Tribolium castaneum: one gene and its partner. The protein of the gene in region 1 binds, or shares a complex with, the protein of each later gene. Links are inferred from orthologs where the notes say so. Each region holds a gene or a part of one and is shown in the gene's direction. Other genes may lie near its edges.

Region 1 (5,899 bases):
CTCTTACAAATTCACATTTTGCATTATGTACTGTAAGTTTATATATAACTGTCACTCCATTTATATCATACAAAAAAAGTAAAATTAATAGTATATTAGGATACGAGTTTTATAAGACGCATTTTGTCGCACGCACAAATTTAGCGCACGACGAGCGCAGCGAGGAGTGCCATAATAGAGTAAGTGCGACAAAATTCCTTATAAACGAGATATCATACAGTATTTTTTCTACTGCGCACTTTTTGTACCAAAAAAATTAATTTCGAAATTTAGGGAATTAAAAAAAGATTAGAAAACGGTTTTCTTCAAATGGAATGACCATGTTTTTTCAATGGTAGTCAAAAGAACATCAATTTTTATGCAGACTTTTATTAACATCTTCTATATCTATCTCTTACAGTTAAAAACTGAATTTTAGCTCATTATTTTCATTTTTAATCAAGTAAACTTTCGATATGAAAAAATTGTGCTATTAATTAAAAAAAATGTTCGATTTGTTTACCATTTTCATTCAGGAAGTTCAAAATGCCATGCCAGACTGATTGAGTTACCTTACATAATTCACTAAGTTATAATAAACCATAATTAAATGTTAATAGTTTTACTGCTTGTTCGATAATAAACCAGCAAAAAACTAAAAAAAATATTGAAGTTTAACATTATTGTTGACCATTTTGCAAGGTCTACTTGATTAACTATCAAAATTATGAAGTAAAATCTCTTTTTTGTGATTTTGTTCAAAAACAGTAAGAGATAGGAAAGAAAAATTGATAGAGAAAATAAGAAAATAATAAATAACTAATAAAGACCAATAAAGAATAATGAAAGAATAAAAAATTGAAAAAAATGTGGCCGCAGAAGACAGTATTGAAAATAGAAAGAAAGGAAGATAAAAAACTATTAAAAAATAGAAAAATATTATACTCCATTAGATATTACGATACGCAAATCGCGTATCGTAATGACCTCAGTAGTTACACAACTTTTGACTCACTTGATTATATCCTTGAGTATGGAAGACAAGGCAGCCCCCTCGAAATTTATCATAAAAACAGTTGCGGGACAATTTCTAGATAAACAGGAGAAGCAAATGTCGTCAAAGTCGATTTTATAAATCTTGAAAGTTTTTTTTGTAATATTACCGCCATCGTTTTGTTTACATTTATTTAGAGGTTAGATTTTCTGCACGAAGTCATTTTCATTTAACACGACATGATTGTAACAATTTATTATAAAACTGGTCGTTTTAACGTAAAAATACACATAAAAATCAAGCTCTTGTCACTCTAGGTCCACTCATCATTTTTTCTCTAATAGCCCACCTCAAGTCGGTTCTGTTGTCTTCACCTGGAATTTTTTGTCGCTTCCAACACTTTTGATATTGGTGGTAGAGTGCGACAGGGTCACTCTTATTAATATTTGTTTGAATTCCCGGTCTTATGACTACAAGCTTAAACGTAAAAAAACTTACAAACACTTTAAAATACTTACAGGAACTTTTAGGTTTGCTAGAATTAATCATTTTTTTCCAAGGCACATCTTTAACGGGCACAAAGTCAAGCGTGTCTTCTTGACCCTTTTCAGGGGCTGTTTGTGCCTCCAACGTGTTTTCGTGACAATGGTGTTGTGGTCCTTTACTTGTCTTGATTTTTAACGAAATTACACTTTCTTTCTTTGAAACTGTTTTGGCTCTTGAAGAGTGAGTCCCTTGTGAATGTAAAACTAGAAACACATCATCTTTATTTTTTTCGTTTTCGTTCGGCACATCTGTTTCATTTCCAAGGCTTTGTTTGCTTCTCTTGCGTTCTTCATACTTTATCAATTTTTTCAAGTCTGAAAACCAAACTTTTGTTCAATTAAAGTAACAAAAAATGACTCACCAACCGTAAACAAATTCTTTCAATTGTTGTGGGTTAATGTTGTGATAACCCAAGTCATTTAAATACGCTAATACTTCCCTAGGGCTTATTTTTGTGGTCATTTTTAAGAAAAAAAATAAGAAAACGTTGAAACAAAACCTTAAATTTCTAGGCAACATACGAAAATCAAATTCCCTAAAAGTGGGGACATAAAATAAGTGTTACAAAACCTCGCAGTTGGTTAATTTCACAATAACGTTGATTTTATTAAACACTGCTAATCACAAAATCATTTTTATCAACAAAATTGGTATTTCTTTGCAAAAAATTGCTTTCCACCCAGTCAGTTACTTTCACGAGGGTTGGTGTCCCTGCCTGTCAGCGTGACAAACATCTGATTGTCAAAAAAATGTCACGCGGAAGTGTAAGTAAACAAAAACAATCCTCTCCAAGTGTAAAAAATGATATGGACAAGTATGAAGTTATTAAATTATTGGGCGAAGGATCGTTTGGACGAGTTTACAAAGCGAAAGTAATCGCAGATTCATCTTTTGTTGCCTTAAAAGTTATCTGTAAAGTGAGTTAAAAACTGAGGCTCGAACTCGTTCAAATTTATTTCATTTAGGGTCGAAGATCGAACAAGGAAATAATTGGTCTACGAAGGGAATGTGAAATTCAAAGACATTTGCATCATCCCAATATTATACAAATGCTTGATTCGTTTGAAACTCCAAATGAGGTGAGACAATTTTTCCCAAGTTCTTTTCGTTTTTTAAACAGATTTTCAATGTACCGTACAAATGTTAGGCAACCAACACCAAATCTGGTGATTTTCGTGTTAATTTGGTGAAAACTGTATAAACATTTTGTTTAGTGATTTTAGAAAAATGCTTTTTATACAAACAATCACATTTACAAAAATTTTGATTCACTGTTCAACGTCTGTTGTTATTTTTATTTAAGTATGATTTAACAAATTAAATGGGATAGTAGAGACAAGATGGAGTTTATTTTTTTTTTAATAAATAAAAAACCAATGTAAATTAGTCTGCTATCCCAGTAATGATTTAAATCATACTTAAATTTACAAAAATTGTAAAAAGTTGTGGTGACACCAGAAATCTAACAGTATTCCTCCAACATATGTTAAATTATTTTTATGTTTAATTATTTGTAGAATTTGTGTTCGCAATGAAATTACATTTTTTCATGTTATTTTTTATTATTTTTTCAGTTTTCTTTTATTTTCGTATCGTTTAACTGCTTGTCTCATAATTTTTTCTTTCTATCTTCGTTTAATTTTGTGTGTTTTCTTTTATGCCTTTTTTGCATTTTTTTATTTTGTTTTTTTTTAATTTTGTGGGTTTATTTCTCCTGCGACATTATTCTATTCGTTGCTTTAGCATTTCTTTTTCATATTACCATTGCTTTACTTTTTGTTTTTTTTTACCTTTTGCTATATTTCTTTCATATTATATTGTCTTCAGTTTATGGCTTCGTCTTTTGTAGTTTGTCGTTTGTGGTTTATTCTGTTCTTTTTTTTCTATTCTACCGAGTGCTCAAAAACCGACGCACCAACTTATTGGAATATGGTAGAGAATTGCTTACATATAACGGTAAAATTAGTAAAAAAATTCTTTGTATTAAAATTATTGATAAATAATTATATTAATTATATTATATATAATATATATATATATATATATTATAAATATATATATATATTATAAAAAATATATATAATTATAAATATTAATTATATTTAATTAGATGATATGTGGCAACGTTGTCTAACAGTGATGATCGCAATAGAACTTAATCAACAATAAAAATAAATTATTTTTGAAACGGTTTCCTAAGTAATAATTCCCAATGTTGACACATCTACAAATTGTGATTTTTTTGACGAATTTTATTTTTTTTAATTAAAAAATCTGCTAAAGTCTGATAGGAAATTTAAAAATAATTATTCATTGTTGTGTTAGGGAACGATTACTTAGTGTGAAACATAAAACTATTAAAAAATAATGAAAACTGAAGAAGTTTACAAAATAAGTTTGTAGCTCCATATTTTTTAAAATATGACATTAGGAATTTTTTCAAGATTTTTTCCGTGATCTACACATGCTTCTCAACAGCGTACCACTGAGTTGGTGCGCCAGTTTTTGAGCATCCTGTATAGTTCTATACAGTTTTATTCTATTCTATATAGTTTTTTCTTAATCATCCTTTTTTTACATTTTCAATAATGTTTTTTGAGGCCATCTTTTCCAATTTTTTATTTTTTTATTTAAAATTTAGATTTTTTGTCTTTATTGGTTATTCTTTATTTTCTTATTTTCTCTTTCAAGTAATTTCGTAAAACAATTTTTATTTCCTTGTACTGTTTTTTCCTTATTATTTTTGCCTATTATCTATTAATGATCTTGTTGCTAAATTAAATTGTTGTAATCAGTTGATCAGACGATCTAAAAATTTTTGTTTGAAACACCAAATAAAGAGAGACAATTTTTCCTTATATTTTACTAAGTTCTTTTCGTTTTTTAAACAAAGATTTTCAATATAGTGTATAAATGTTAGGCAACCAACACCAAATCTTGTGATTTTCGTGTTAATTTGATGAAAACTGTGCAAAAATTTTGTTTGGTGATTTTAGAAAAATGCTTTTTATACCAACAATCACATTTACAAAAAATTGTATTCACTGTTCAACGTCTGTTGTTATTTTTATTTAAGTATGATTTAATAAATTAAATGGGATAGCAGAGACAAGATGCAGTTAATTTTTTTATATAAATAAAAAATCAAAGTAAATTGCTCCTTGTCGGCTATTCTAGTAGTGAATCAAATTATCCTTAAATTTACAAAAATTGAAAAATAATGTTTGTGAATTACGCAGGACTGAGTTGTGGTGACACCAGAAATCTAACACAATTTGAAATCAGGAAACCAGTTACAATCTGAGTATTCCCCCAACATATTTAAAATTATTTTTATGTTTAATTATTTGTAGAATTTTTGTTCGCAATGAAGTTATTATTTTTTCAGTTTTCTTCTATTTTCGTATCGTTTGACTGCTTGTCTCACCATTTTTTTCCTTCTGTCTGTTAAGTGAAGGGGGCGCTGCTGTTGAAATTGGCGGGAAATGATGACGCGTGAGGCGCGTACGGGCAACGCCTAGTTAGTTGGAAGGACACTGTGGAAGTGTCAATGTCGTTGTTGAATCTAATTTGCTAATAAATTAGTTTTTGGGTGAATTCCGAGTTTCATTTACAGAGCAGCGGTAGGATATTGCTCAAATAATCGTTTCCGATAGAGAGTGGTGAATTGTGGTGATTTTGTGAGGAATTTGTGGGTCGCCAAGGCAAGGGCCAAAAATTGAAGTTTTGGGAATCTGTACCGTTTCATTCGTAACAAAATTGTGTTTTACTACTTGAAATCGAACAAATCAATCGGGTGCTAGCCGAATTTATCTGATTTTTCTGATTTCTGACGAGTTCTAGGAGTTACGCAACCACACGCTGTCAATTTTCATTTGGGTGTGGCTCAAAAGGCGCGAAAAGTTTTCTGATGAGATTTTCGCAATGGGGCGTCACAGGTACCGAGGAAATGTGGACTCGGACGACTCGGACTCAAGTGACGATGAGCCACGGCCGAAAAGGTCCGCGCCTGGGGTCTCCACTACAGTAAATTCACCCCCAGTTTCGGCCGAGTCCGCTAGAATCGCGAGACTTGAGCAACTTGTGGAAAACTTGAATCGACGTTTGCTAAACCGCAATTTTGAGCACACATCAGGACAAGTTGGCATTAAAAGTGACCTGATTCCTGAATTCGCTCCAGGAAACCCCAATTTTAGTACCACTAAGTGGTTGCATAAAATTGACCAGTTGGCTCTCGTGAACGGTTGGGACGAACGTACAACGATTTACGGCATGATAAGTCGACTCAAGGGGTTGGCCAAGGAGTGGTACGACAATCTCGATCCCTCAGCATACGACCGGAGCTGGGATGAATGGAAACGTTTGTTACAAGCCACCTTC
Region 2 (5,748 bases), on another chromosome or scaffold:
TGTTAATTATTTCGGCTGTTGGAGGCATATACGTACGCGCGCCGAGCGACACTGAATAGAGACATTTTACAAAGTTCAACTCTCGGGAAAAAGCTTTTGATAAAGAATTTTGTTGTGGAATGATGTTGAAAGGTTATCAGTTCGAACAGTTATTCTAATTTTGTTCCGGCAATATTAACGCCACCAAAAATTGAACGTTGTGTTTTAGCAAGTATAATGATTCCCCTTGATAACAAGTGATAAAAACACTCATTTTGATAGTAAAAACCCATTAGCTAAACAAATAAAATACCCTCACGTTGGAAGGAATTTTATGGCTTCGTTGGCTGATTTTAGCGCACTGCGCCTGTTTTTGTAAAAATAAAGTTTTCAAAAGCGGAAGATGTCTCGGAAATTAAAATTTTGTAAACACATAACTCTCCAACCTGTTGGCAGTGGGCGTCGTATTTTTATATATGATTTACATAATGCGTTTTACGTATAAGCGTCGCGACGTCGATAACATTTTATAGCACTTTACTTGCATGTTGTGTGAATTGAAGTTAAGTGCATTAATAATGCACAACTAAAACAACATTATTCAATACTTTATCGTCAATAGCGAGTCCGTTAACTAAATTAAAATTAGATAACTGCAGCCACGAGAGCCAAAATGACACCTGCTTAGATTAATTTACAAAGTTCATGGAGCAATGAGCCTCTTTTTTAAATATACAGTTATACATACAAATTAAGTACGGCTTAATTTTAAAAATGGAAAAAATATAAAAACTAGCCTTGTAATTACCAGTTAGTAATTACTGTACTCTGAGCAACAATATTATGACAAAAATCTCGAAATAAAAATAATAATTAAACGTAGTTAAATAGATAAAATTTTGCAGTGTTCATATGACTGGATTATGTAATCAAGAATAACCCGAAAAAATTCTCATTTAGTGCCGTACCTTCCTAGGTACTCATCTTAATTAATCCGTTTAAAAAAAGCATAATTAGTAAAATACTTTTACTAATGAATTAATTACATCAATTTAAAAAAAATGTTTTAAAAAATGGCTTAGTTGATCACACAAACAAAATTGGTAGCAAAATTATTATGTAGAACGAAGTCTTAAAAATTGTATTAAGATTTAATCTTAAGTACAAATAGACACTGTTTTATAAAAAGAATTGGCTTATCTAATAATTTAAGGTATTTCCGTTAATTTAATTGATAGAGATTTAATGCAAACACAAATACAGCATGTAATTCGTGACTTAGGCAAATTTTATTAATATGTCTCAAAGTTTACACTTTTGAGTAACATTTTTTTATTGCGTCTTCACTTTTATTTTGGCCAATTTTATTTGTTGTGTTAATCAGTCACAGTATGTTTAAAATTCCAAAGTAGAGAGTTTGTATAAAAAAATGTTATACACTAATAAAAACAAAAGTTGGAAAGTATTCTTCCGGCTTTTAAATTAATCTAAATAATAACTACAAAGTGTTCCAAGACATACAAATACTTTTAAATTAAGTCACTCAGAAAATGTACATTTTTTATGTACATTATATTACATAATGTCCTGTTGTACAAGAGTTTATAATCACTGACAATAAGTATTCGTTGAGCAGTATATAACCCTGAGAAAAAAATTGAATAGGGATTATTTACTTACCCACAGCTTCTTTCAATAGTGTTACACACTTCACATGCCCCGCTTTTTCAGCCAGATCGAGAGCACTCATTCCATTCGCATCCAGAATTTGAATATCTGAATCATGCTGCAGTAAAATTGAGACATTACTGTTATGCCCATGTTCGGCACTTAAATGCAAAGGAATCTAAAACGAGAGCAATTATTTTCCTACAACTGCTAAAATTAATTAAAAACAAACCTTCTGGTCGCCTCTTGGGCCGCACCGAATGTTAGGATCGGCCCCTGCATTTAGTAAAATTGTCAAACACCCTGAATTATCATTAATAGCAGCTGCATGTAGGGGGGTTCTCCCCCAACTGTCCTGCGAGTTCAGGAAGGCCTGTTGGCCCCCTTCTAGCAAGTCCATGAGTAAATGTGTGTTGTCCCATAACGCGGCCTTAAAACAACAATCAAATTTTGCAAATTAACTAGTTAAAGGAACGAACCTGGTGTAGGAGCCGGCCTGGAAAATCTTCGTCTTCAGGCGAAGAATCCAACATTGTGGCGATCGATAACGCTCCCAACACCTACATTACACAAACGCGGAAACTAACACAATTTCGTGCAAAAACCGCGAAGCGTTTCAACGATAATAATTTCGCAACGATTGAGAAATACAAAAATGTCCTTATTTTGACTGCTGGATTAGAGGTTAGTTTAATTGTCGCAACGACAAGCAACCTAACAACGCCAAAAGCCACCCCTTGCACCCACTTTTCGAACGGGCTCTAGGGAAATTTCTGTTTGGTGAGTTACCGAGCCAGGTTACTCTTGTTTTGTTTGGCGGGTTGCCTAAAAGTTGTTCCTGCATTCTTGAAATATTTTCTTTTATTGGTCTGGACGGAAGTGTAAAATGTTCTAAAGTGGTAACAAACGGCTAAATATAATACTTTCTGCCGATTTCTAGTAAGTAGAGGTGTTGGTTTGTAAAGTTTTAAAGTTGGGGGGGCCCAATAGAACAATGAATGAAGCTGCTGCTCTGCCCCATGGACCCCCAATGAACATTCTGCCACCGACACCAGCAGGTTTGGAGTCTTTGTACACGCTATGTAGGAAAATTTACCCCGATCAAGCCAACCCCCTTCAAGTCACGGCCCTCATCAAGTACTGGCAAGTGATTTTTGCAATAAAATTACATAATTCGTTTAATTTAACGTACATGTAATTATTTTGGCAATTGCCGGGCTTATAATTGTGCGAAATTTCCATTAAATTAAAATTTGACTCAGGTTCTATTTATAGTCACTTCCTGTTTTTTCTGTCTGCTTCCCTTGTATGTAAACAGGGGAGCTGACCTATTTTATTTTTAAACGAGGGGATACTTTTTTATAGGCTGGGAGGGCCCGATCCTTTAGATTACATATCAATGTATGCAAATCCAGGCATTCCACAAGAAAACATTCCTCCACATTGGCACTACATAAGGTAGCAATCTTTTAAGTGAAATATTTAATAAACGAAAATTTTAGTTTTGGTCTCTCAGACCTTCACGGTGACGGGCGAGTGCACGACGTGTCAGGAGCTAATGGTGTTTCAGGTTTTGGTTTTGAGCTAACATTTAGGCTAAAACGGGAGCCTGAAGAGACGGCACCGCCCACCTGGCCCGCAACTTTAATGCAATCTTTAGCGAAATACGTTTTTCAGTCAGGCAACACTCTTTGTGCTGGTGACCACGTTTCCTGGCACTGCGCGTTAGATAGCAGCGAGTCACGAATACAGCACATGTTGATGACCACAGACGTGCATTTGAAGTCAATACAGACGCCTTTTGGTTCTGTCGATTTCGTCCAAATTGTTGGTATTTGCGCCGAGGAGCTGAAAGCAGCCCAGCAGTGGAACGGGGCCGGGGTGCTTGATATGATAACTAGAATACCGTCGTAAATCGCACCACCAATCACGTTTTCGTAAAACTTAAGTCTGGGTTTTAGTGCTGGGGGGCCTTGGTTTATCACGGATATGAGGCGAGGGGAGAGCATTTTTGAGCTTGATTTAAACGCGCACGAGGAAGTCGAGCGAGGGTTTGAGTTAGAGGGCTCCAATTTGAGCGGAGTCAGCGCTAGGTGTTCATGGGTTGAGCAAGACCCTGCTCGTATTGACATAATGCATTTGAAAGAAAAGTCCGATTGTGACAATTTCCAAGCTCAAGAGGACGTAACTCTGTTAAATTCACCTCAAAAACCGCTACAGAGTGGCAACTTTGAACAAAACCGCTCCAGTAGCACCAATTTCAAAATGGACGAGTCAACTGAGTTGTTGCACATAAAGAAATTAGAGGGCGTCCATTTGGTTTTTAATTTGGAGGCTGGGAGTTTACTCCCTTTGGCCATCAGGTGAGGGAATTTTACGTGTTGGTGTTGTTTCTATTTTTTATTTTTGAAAAGGGGGCGCGTACGACATGGTAGACATTTCACATTTAAGTCAGTTTTGGGTGAAACTGCCATAACACTAGTGGCAGGTACGGTTACAGGGACGTTGGTGAACTCAGAACACCCTTATGTAGCTCAGGGTTCATGGCTACAAATACTTATTACCGACGATTTAGCTCAGGATATGGCGGTTACTTTTCAAGTTCTGGCCACTCCAGAGGCGCTTTCTTTACCAAAAACATTCTCATGGCCCGACAAAAAGTTATCTGTGACTATTGTAGCGGACAAGTTATAGTATTTACAGTTATCTCATTAATCATAATAAGACTAAAATAGGTTTAATTTAGCCTTAGTCTCACGAAATAATCAAAAGCAATATGTAGGCATATTTCTTATCTTAGGTTTACTCAATTAATTTATTACATTATTTATTATTACCTAACTTAAATAGAACAACCCCCCATATGCTATACATATCGGATTTAAAGTACAAAAAGTAACCCATATTATGTACCATAGACCTGTAAACTGTCCCACTTGATTCTAAACGAATAAAGATGCTTTCTTTTGAATTAGGTTTTTTATTTTTATACCATGCTTTCTAATTTTTTTATCGAAATGGCCTGTGAAATTAAGTCGTTTGATTTACTTCATACGCGCTATCAGTCGTGACGTCACCTCCCCACTCTTATTACGGTAGGTCAGTTGCTCAAAGCTAAACAACCAGTCTTTTACATGTGGTGTAATACGTTTTTCGGTTTTTTGGTTGTGTTTGTGCGTTAATAACGTGTCAAATAGCTGCAGCGGGTGTAATTTGTGCCACTAGAGACTTTAATTTAATTTAGAAGTGACTTTTTGTGAAAATACGAACTTTATAAAAGAATACAGGGAACCACGTTGTCGGTGAGAAAGTGAGTAAGCTTTAATTATACTTTGAGAAACTATTATATTTATGCATTTTAGTGGCAGAAAAGCACATTGTTAAGTTTCACTTTATTGCGAAATTTTTTGGGGACGGTAATCGCTTTTTAGTTCGGGGAGAAAATGCTTTTACCAGCGGTCACGTCACCAAATTTAGGTTTGATGGCACAGTACAACCGATGAGAATTTCTGCAGAAGTTCTACCGAGCATGAAAAAGCTAAATTATACTGTGGAGGTTTGTATTTATTTAACTGTTAGACATTTCTTCTACAAAGTGTGTTTTAGATTTCATATGACCTAGAAGAAGGGGTTAAGACGGCACATTGTACCTGCCCAAGGGGCAACGTGGCTTGCCATCATATGGCTGCAGCATTATATTATGCTCATTATAATGTAAGTGCTACTGACATTGAGTGTCAGTGGAGTGCCCCATCAAAAACAACACCACAAACAGAAGTCATTAAGTTAGCTGATGTTTACAAGCCGAAATTATCAAACTATACGGCACTGTCTAGGTCCTCTACTGAGGACGAAATTATTCAGTTCCGTGCCGAAATAGGCGTCACGAATGTGGTGGGCTTCACTTGGCTCCTAAGACCAGAAGCAAGTGAAGAAGCCAGAAAAATTATTGCAGATATCGAAGAAATTCTACAAAGCTTAGAATACGTGCAGGCCATAGACAAACAAAAGTTTCTTTTGGAGAAGTGCAGAATAGATGAGGCACGCATTAAACTGGTTGAGGCGTGCACTCGGGGCCAACATGTTAACGAAAATTGGCAT

Evidence for each region. Proteins that work in one complex are often made in the same cells at the same time.
Region 2: the proteins of fu (region 1) and Su(fu) are in contact, whole or in part, in a crystal structure (PDB 6LPH), measured with the Drosophila melanogaster proteins. The link is inferred for Tribolium castaneum from reciprocal best matches to the Drosophila melanogaster genes fu and Su(fu). Residues at the interface, in NP_477499.1 of Drosophila melanogaster: Phe371, Val372, Ser373, Asn375, Ser376, Asn377, Met378, Ile379, Leu380, Asn381, His382, Met383, Asn384, Asn386, Phe387; in NP_536750.2 of Drosophila melanogaster: Leu18, Ile22, Pro33, Asn34, Pro35, Leu36, Gln37, Val38, Thr39, Thr40, Leu41, Leu42, Asp50, Tyr54, Met57, Arg127, Thr130, Trp131, Ala133, Asn134, Gln137.

The regions. Positions count from the first base shown.
Region 1 is NC_087395.1:1,160,059-1,165,957, reverse strand, and holds the start of fu (serine/threonine-protein kinase fused), read left to right. Parts: upstream 1-2,268; coding exon 2,269-2,436; intron 2,437-2,484; coding exon 2,485-2,598; intron 2,599-5,899. Other genes in the region: centriolar and ciliogenesis-associated protein HYLS1, read right to left, coding at 1,271-1,443, 1,492-1,833, 1,885-2,038. UniProt on the Drosophila melanogaster protein: Probable serine/threonine-protein kinase; maternally required for correct patterning in the posterior part of each embryonic metamere. May be involved in control of cell division during metamorphosis and ovarian development. May interact with costal-2.
Region 2 is NC_087397.1:4,507,411-4,513,158, forward strand, and holds Su(fu) (suppressor of fused homolog), read left to right. Parts: upstream 1-2,395; 5' UTR 2,396-2,641; coding exon 2,642-2,790; intron 2,791-3,012; coding exon 3,013-3,105; intron 3,106-3,149; coding exon 3,150-3,557; intron 3,558-3,608; coding exon 3,609-4,010; intron 4,011-4,061; coding exon 4,062-4,341; 3' UTR 4,342-4,618; downstream 4,619-5,748. Other genes in the region: Lrrk (leucine-rich repeat serine/threonine-protein kinase 1), read right to left, coding at 1,660-1,825, 1,880-2,077, 2,127-2,180; uncharacterized protein LOC107399185, read left to right, coding at 4,957-4,957, 5,010-5,203, 5,254-5,748.